Linked DNA regions of Nothobranchius furzeri. The protein of the gene in region 2 purifies or fractionates together with the protein of the main gene of each other region. This does not show direct contact. Links are inferred from orthologs where the notes say so. Each region holds a gene or a part of one and is shown on either strand. Other genes may lie near its edges.

Evidence for each region.
Region 1: the proteins of bbs7 (region 2) and bbs4 purify together in Homo sapiens (co-immunoprecipitation; 7 studies listed by BioGRID and IntAct, counting the BioPlex papers as one, with this or other methods). This does not show direct contact. The link is inferred for Nothobranchius furzeri from reciprocal best matches to the Homo sapiens genes BBS7 and BBS4.

The regions. Positions count from the first base shown.
Region 1 is NC_091749.1:45,779,152-45,782,972, reverse strand, and holds part of bbs4 (Bardet-Biedl syndrome 4 protein), read right to left. Parts: intron 2,766-3,821; coding exon 2,711-2,765; intron 2,622-2,710; coding exon 2,553-2,621; intron 2,382-2,552; coding exon 2,229-2,381; intron 1-2,228.
Region 2 is NC_091741.1:74,284,128-74,288,732, reverse strand, and holds the start of bbs7 (Bardet-Biedl syndrome 7 protein), read right to left. Parts: upstream 2,913-4,605; 5' UTR 2,068-2,912; coding exon 2,032-2,067; exon of another isoform or gene 1,988-2,031; intron 1,893-1,987; coding exon 1,827-1,892; intron 1,661-1,826; coding exon 1,598-1,660; intron 1,515-1,597; coding exon 1,339-1,514; intron 1,252-1,338; coding exon 1,065-1,251; intron 971-1,064; coding exon 898-970; intron 812-897; coding exon 704-811; intron 1-703.

The DNA.
Region 1 (3,821 bases), on a different chromosome or scaffold from region 2:
TCCATCTCAGGAACGTTGCTAAGCTAAGTCCCATTCTGTCCATTATCCACACCTTCATCTCCTCACGCTTACACTACTGTAACTCTCTTTTCACGTGTCTGAGCAAAACCTCCCTGAACTGTCTACAGGTGGTTCAGAATGCCTGTGCTCGGCTTCTGACCAAAACCTCCAAACACACCCACATCACCCCGCTTCTCCTCCAGCTTCACTGGCTGCCAGTCAACTTCAGGGTTCATTTCAAGACCCTGGTTCTGGTCTACAGGGCCTTACATGGACAACCCCCCCCCCCCCCCCCCCCCCCCCCCCCCCAACCTGAGATCAGTGAATTCAGTGGTCTCCTTTTGAAAGCAGCTGAAAACTCACCTGTTCAGGCTGGTTTTGGTGTGACCTTCATCATCCTCTCCTTGTGCTGTCCCCCATCCTATTCCACCTTCCTCAGGATCCACTGATTTCTCTTTCCTATTCACTCTCTCTCTTTCTTTACATTTTAAATCACAACTGTCTATTTTTTGCTCATTTTAAATATATTTTAATTCATTTTCTAAATTATTTTTTATATTTTACATTTTTTGTTTTTGTGAAGTGCCTCGTGATTTTTATCTTGAGAGGCGCTATAGAAAAGATCTTCTTCTTCTATTGGGTGTCTCCTTTGCTTCCTTTTATTTTTATGGACTGTTTCTTTTATACTCTTTTTTATGCCTTACCCCAATTTTAATTGTTTAGTTTTTATTTTTATGTTATGTATCCACACTACGTACGACATGCCGCTTTTCTTAAAGTGATGGTGTGTATTTATCCTGGCGATAGGGGGCAGTACATACCTAAATCATTTCAAGCAAACAGTATTTTTATGTTTGAGTAAGACCTTACCAACGGATGACCATTAGGGTCAAAATTCCCCAAGAGCACTATTTTTGAACAAGTTCTTGGTCAGATCATTCAACCTCCAGCAAAACGACAAGTACAGCATACTCCCTTTCATCACTGACAACAAGCGAAGAGGTAAATGTATTTATTTATTTAACTTATGTTTTTAGAGGATAAAACCCTAAATGTGTAAAACAACAACAACATCTATGAATGGTAAAAGTTCTGTCACTGTTACAAGTCAGTAAATGCATTTTGATCTCACGGGCTCCCGTAGAAGGAAACGTGGCATCTAATATGGTGTCACCCAGAGACTTAGACCCGCTGCCACGTATTTTAGACCTGATTTTTATGGTTATGTTACGAAGCCACCAATATTTTTCAACAACTAGGCATCATTTAATTTATCATCATTTAACAACATTTGGATTTTTTCCAGAGATTAGCAGTAAAAACTACACATTGTCTCTTTAATGCTCTGGTTTTAGTATTTTAATTTTATCAACATTTTTTTTACTCATTGTCCATGAGGGGCTTTTAAATGTAGTATTTTGCCTGTTCTGCTGCCCTTTCCTTGTCAGGATCTTTAGTCAGCTGACATGCTGTGGTTAAATGTTAAAAGAATCAACACTCTTAAAATTTAGAGACATTGTAGAATTGCAGACAGCACAAATATTATTTCTTGCAAGAAACAAACTATTACTAGAAAACATCCAAAAATGATTCATTGAGAAGGAAGGGGGTTATAAATTACGGGAACTATCTCATTTCAGAATTCCTTTTGCACGTACAACAAGTAAAACCTTTTGTATTTCGGTATGTGAAGCAAGACTGTGGAAAAGGATGGAGGGGACACTAAGGAAATGTGTTACTTTGATTCGGTTTAAAAAAAAATACAAAAACAATATTTATACCAGGTACAGAATTGAGGAGGGTATTTCAGTTTGACAGTCTGTGTTTAAATTATTTACTATTATTATATTAACAAGGACATTATTATAATATAATAAAAAGGACAGGCATAAATATAAGCGTTTTGCTTCTGCCTGAGCCTTTTCAGTCACTTTAAATGTAATGTTTTATGATTATATTATGTTTTGTTGTATTTCTGACTGAATAAATCGAAAGAAAAAAAGTGCTTTACAAAGAAATATGGGATGGTATGGTATCTTCTTGGTGAAGTAGGGTAATTTTTTAACTAGCTTGATTTAAATCTACCTCATATGGGTATTTTTTAAACCAATTTCGTAACGCTACATTCTACACTAAGCACATCATACTGAGGGGCCCTAATCTGTATGATGCATGTCATCAGTTTCTGTTTCTTCAACCTTGAAAAACACAAAAACAGAATTACTCACAGCTACATATTTCTTCTTTCCAAAGAAGCACATGCCAATGTTGTTCCAGAGCGGGGGGCTCTCAGGCACAGCACAAGCTGCCACTCGGTACTTGTTCATGGCCACATCAAAGTCACCGTGGGTTTGCATCATGCAGCCTGCAGCCAGGATGGCCTGGGAATAAAAACAGTGATTAGAGGAAGATGTAACCTTTGAAACAGCACATGATGAAAGTCAAGAAGACTAACATCTGATGGTGAAGGACCTTCTGCTTTGACTGAACAGCCTTCAAACCTTCAGGTGTTGAGTAGAAAACTAAGTTTATGCTGAAGTGTAATGTCATACCTTGTAATTGTTTGGGTCAAAAGTGAGGGCATTCCCGAGGTGCTCAAAGGCTTTTTGGTATTTACCAAGCTAAAAAAAATAACCATTTTTATTAATAGTATTATTTTACATGAGCATACATACATACATACATTAAGGCTACAAACAAATATACCAACCTGTAAATAAAGAAGGCCAAGTGTGGTCAGAAGTTCAGTGTTCTCTGGAGAATACCTGAACAGAGACAGAGAGAAGCTAAATGAAAAGGGTCACTTTTTCAATAACTGAAGCCAGCCACTATGGCTGACAGTCAGATTATTCCAACAGGCTTGTTTTCAGAATGATTACAGAGTATTAATGATGGCCTGTGAGCCCTAAAGGAAAACAGCAAAGAGGAGGCAGACTGACACTGAAATAAGACTCAGCAGTAAGTCTCATTAAAGCGACGCAGGTATTGGGGCGTTTGATTAATTCATTTGCCCCAATAGGAGGCAGCCATAATGAGCTCTGTTACAGACACTGATGTGGTTTACTTATTTACACCATGGCCTCATGTTTAAATATTCAGTAAAGTGGAAATGAGACAAAATTTAAAAGGACCTTGGGTAAAAACGAGGCAAGGGTGGAGCTTCGAGCTAAACCGAATGTTTGCTGGAGGGTGCTTCAGAGACTGAACATCATCAGACACATCAAGCTGGAACAACTTAAAAATACCAAACCGTCTCAGAATGAGTGTTTCAAAGCAGTCCTACTTAATGATTTGGCTCATGGCCATAAAAAACAGACACTTTCCTTGTACCAGTTTCAGTTCCTGAAACTAAATAACTGATTGGTTTAGAATATTTATGGAGCTAATCAGCGGTGGTCCAGAATGACAGTTTTTAAGGGACAGTTTAGATCTTGTCTGGTGGGGTTTTGAAACGTTGTAAACAAATAATCTCCTAATATACTTTCTGCTTCAAACAGCCTCAGTTTGGAGAAACAGATCAGTTTTGATTGAACAGAGGAATTTGAGGCTACTTGTATGGTACGTGCACATCTGGGTCCAGCCCTGGTAATTTAATTGTGTTCACACCTGGGTAATCTGTGTGTTTCCTGTGCTCAGTTGACCCTTTTTTTTTAACCTGCTCTCCGGCGGTCCGCCTTGTGTGCAGCCGACCCAGCACACCGACTGCAGACTGGTTGGTTGGCTGAAGTTCACGCCAAACTATAGAGGGAGCTTCTGATTGGCAGGTAGAGTGAGCCAGTGGAGGCTTCCAGCATACACGATGCATTATCAGTCTGCCCGCG
Region 2 (4,605 bases):
AAATGGAGGAGTTTAAGTATCTTGGGTCTTGATCACGAGTGAGGGAACGATGGAGCACGAGACTGACAGACGGATTTGTGCTGCGTCTGCAGTTGTACTGATCTAACGTGATGAAAAGATAGCTGAGCTGGAAGGCAAAGCTTTTGATTTAACGGTCAATCTACGTTCCTACCCTCACCTATGGTCACGAGCTTTGGGTAGTGACCGAAAGAACAAGATTGCGGATACAAGCGGCCGAAATTATTTTTCTCCGCAGGGTGTCTGGGGTCTCCCTTAAAGAGGATGAGAAGCTCTGTCATCCGGGAGGGGCTCAGAGTAGACCCACTGCTCCTCCACGTTGAGAGGAGCCAGTTGAGATGACTCGGACATCTATTTAGGATGCTTCCTGGACACCTCCCTGGTGAGGTTTTCCGGGCACGTCCAACTGGGAGAAGACCTGAAAGAAGACCCGCTAGAGGGATAATGTATCTCGGCTGGCCAGGGAACGCCTTAGGATTCCCACGGAGGAGCAGGCTCAAGTGGCTGGGGAGAGGAAAGTTTGGGCCTCCTTGCTTAGGCTACTGCTCCCGCGACCTGACCCCAGATAAGCAGCCGAAAATGTTTGTTTATTTATTGCACTGGAAATATGTCATAAACATAAACATAAACAGAAAATGGATGGATGGGTTAGTGGCTAAAATATACAACCATAAAAAAGCTGCACCTCCTTTCCTTTTGTTATTGTCAATCTCCCATTTGATCCCAGCTGAGTGGTCACCAATTTGAACCAGTCCAATTTTCCCATCTGTGGTTCCATAAAGGATTTCATCACCTAAAGGGGAAGAAAAATATGTATATTTAATTTCTTCAAAACTAAACAGTTTAAAGTTTATCTTTAGAGTGCACAAACCGACTTGCCTCCATCTTTGTTGTAGAGTTCCAGTACAGATGGCGGGCCAGGAATTTCAATGTCATAAGCAAGCTCAGATCCCTATGACCAGTTTTAAATAGATCACTGTCATATCTGGGTGTTTGAAGATGAACAGTTGAACAAAGTTCAAACAAAAAATGTGATTTCAATTTACCTGCAAAACTCTGAGAATTCGATCCTGGCATGCCAAGACTGGGGTGAGACGCAAGAGTTTTTCTGAGGACAAACATATGATATCATTTATTTTGTCTCCAGAGAGAAAGTAGTCTTGATCCTTGCAGTCACAGTAGTGGTTGTAGATGTAACTTGCACATACAAACAGATCAGCTCCTGAGACATGCCTGAAAACAACATTACAGCATCACTCAGTGGAGGTCACACGGTGCAAAACAATGCAATCAAACAAACTGATAAGAAATTATTCCTACATGGCATTAATGTTCTCAGTGAGGTTGGCCTCAAAGGTGAGGAATTGTTTGCCTTTCTTGGTGAATCCTCGAACCTGAGAACCAGAGCAGACAAAGATCTTTTCCTGGGGGGTTCCTATGGCACCTCCAAGGTCCATCCTGGCTATTTTGGGGCCCGGAAGCGTTTTAAACACAGACTGAAACACAGAGTCAGATGTTACTATAGCAGAAATCTTTCTTTTGACTTTAACACCAGCTATGCAATGACTTCTAAACTCACCACAGCCTCCCCCTTCTTCATGCCAAAACATGTAAGTACACCATCGTGATCGGCTATAGCAACCTGAAACACAATAAACACCCACATATTAAACCTATTTACACATGGATTTTAACAACATTTCACACATAGACAATAAATAGAAGATCTGAGTTTAGAATATGTTTAATACCCGTTGCTTAAACACCACCCTCACACTATTCCGAATGTCCTGAATTGTAAACAGTACCTTCTGAGTTGCTTTTTTCCCCACCGCTGGAAGTAACCTCATGGTTTTCTGTGATGTTACACCAACCTAATCACAGAGCAGGATTAAACACCGATCATTAAAAATTAAGAGATCATAACCAAACCAACTTCGATAGTAAATGCATCTAATGAAAACACCACCTTCTAAAAAGGTATCGCAGACCTCAGCAGCTCCTGCTTCCTACCTGAGTATAATCAACTCTGTTGAGTTGGAGCTCCATCTTCTTTCTTTAAGGATTTATTTAGTACAAGAAAAATACTCCAGGTGAGCGTTCTGGCCTCAGAATGATACTATGCCCTTTTACAACTCGATACAGATAAAAGAAAATCAAGCGGAATTCTGGAACAATGGTGCCATTTGAGAATGGGATTATTTTCAGCAAGAAGATTAGCTCGACGTGCTAACGTTGGCTAACACGATTAATCCGCCGGTCAGCTGTCTGTCCTCTTCGCCATCTTTAACAAGGTCCAAGTATTGATATCACACAGACCAGAAACTGGTCTAAAGTTCGAATTCTGTTGAAAGCTAAAATTAAGCCTACTGTACACACGCCTTGCAGCAGAATGCAGTCACCATGGCAACAGTACATCCTGTAACACGATGCGATTCTATTGGATGAGAGCGAACCAGCAGAGTTTTAAGCTGCAAATTGATTGGTTGGCTTCCTCGCGGTTTAAAAGCAGATTCATGGTTTTAACCACTGATCTTCGATACCTTAGATACGTCAGCAAGATAAATACTTTTTGTATATAGTATACCCAGTCATAACGCTAATAAGATATCTTAAGATAAACTAATGTAAAAATTGGGGGTTCAATGCTCAAAACGGAGGGTCCCTCGGCCATAAATCAATTTTCCTCACATACACACACGTTCTTATCCATACATTCCTCTCTCTCTCACACACACACGCGCGCGCGCGCGCACACACACACACACACATACTCACACATTATATGATATTCAACATACATGAAATTCTGAGCCATTGAGTCGACCTATTATTTTCTGGAAACTATAATATTGTCATTGGTATAATTGTCTATCATCTCTGCTGTTATTACAGAAATACTCATACAACATGTTCTTATTGGAAGTTATATTACTGTAGATGTATGTAATCCTGAGATGTAGATTAAAAATGTACATGGCTTATTTAAAGTAGATTTGTAGTGTGTGGCAAGGGGGTGGGATTGAATACTCCCTTTGGGCTAAGACTTTTAAAAAAATTGGTATATCTTTTCATTTTTTTACTATGTTCATTGATTTGAAATTTATTGTCTTACGTTCAAATAAACGTTTCAATCATTTAATCAATCACACACACATTGGTATATCTATACTTGTGAGGACCCTTCATTGACTTCCATTCATTTTTGTTACTGCTACGGTTAACCCATACTCCAACCCTAACCAATGTTGCTGTATTCCAATAACTTTATGGCTAATCCATGTGTGAAACTGACGTCTTGAAGAATCTTGGCACTGTCATCTTGGAATATACCCATGCCATCAGGGAAGATGGAATAACCTGGTCATTCAGTATATTCAGGTGACTGTTTTTTGGCGGGGCAGTATAAAAAATTCAATTCAGTTCAGTTTATTTATATAGCGCCAAATCACAAGAGTCGTCTCAAGGTACCACACAAAGTAAACAATCCAATAAAGGTCAGTTCATTAAGCCAATCAGTAAAGTTCCCTATATAAGGAACCCAGCTAATTGCATCAAGTCACTGACTGGTGTCAGTATCTTTACAGCAATCCTCATACTAAGCAAGCATTTAGCGACTGTGGAGAGGAAAACTCCCTTTTAACAGGAAGAAACCTCCAGAGGATCCTGGCTCAGTATAAGCAGCCATCCACCACGACTCACTGGGGATCGAGAAGACAGAGCACGCACGCACACTCACACGCACACGCACACACACACACACACACACACACAGGTATATGGCATTCAGTTTGTGTGTGTCAAGAATGCATCTGTGTGAGAATGTGCAACAGAATAAATGGCCTTGACAGCCCCTCATAAAAACTCACTGGTTGTTAGCAGAAATCTTAAATACAAATGTATACATGCATTAGTCTATGTTACTTTTTTATACGACCACCATGTACCTCTTCTTAAAAAGTGCAATCTTCTATACATTTGCCACAGTTCCATTTTTTCCCATGTCTATATTCTAGCCTGTTTTTATTTTATTGTAATTTTGTTCTGCAATGCATCTGCACAGATTGAATGACTAATCTGAATCTGAATTGTAGCTTATTAAAGCTACACTTGTTGATTCTGAGGCAACAGTCAACCACTAAAGTGACAAGTAATCAATTTTACTACTTTATTAAGAGAGAACTTGATCTTTGTCATAAAAATGTGGTCTTAAGCAGAAAGGGTGGGAGGAAAATGTGTTGAACACTAAACACATGAAAAAAGTTAAATATAATTTGCTTTAAAACAGAGAAACTATATTTAATACATTCAAAGGGAATGGCATGCTTTAGGTCAGTGATCCCAGACTCCCTTCCCCAAGGGCCGGTATACAGAATGTTTTAGTTGTTTCCCTAATCCAATGTACTTGAATCACCTGCTCAGCAGCTCATCAAGCTCTGCAGAAGCCTGTTATTCACCTGCTGATTGAAATCAGGTGTGTTGAAGCAGAGAAACATTAAAGCATGCTGGATACAGACCCTCATGGGAAGAGAGTTGAGGACCCCGACTTTAGGTAAATCGTTTCAAAGAGCAAAACGTCTTGTACCT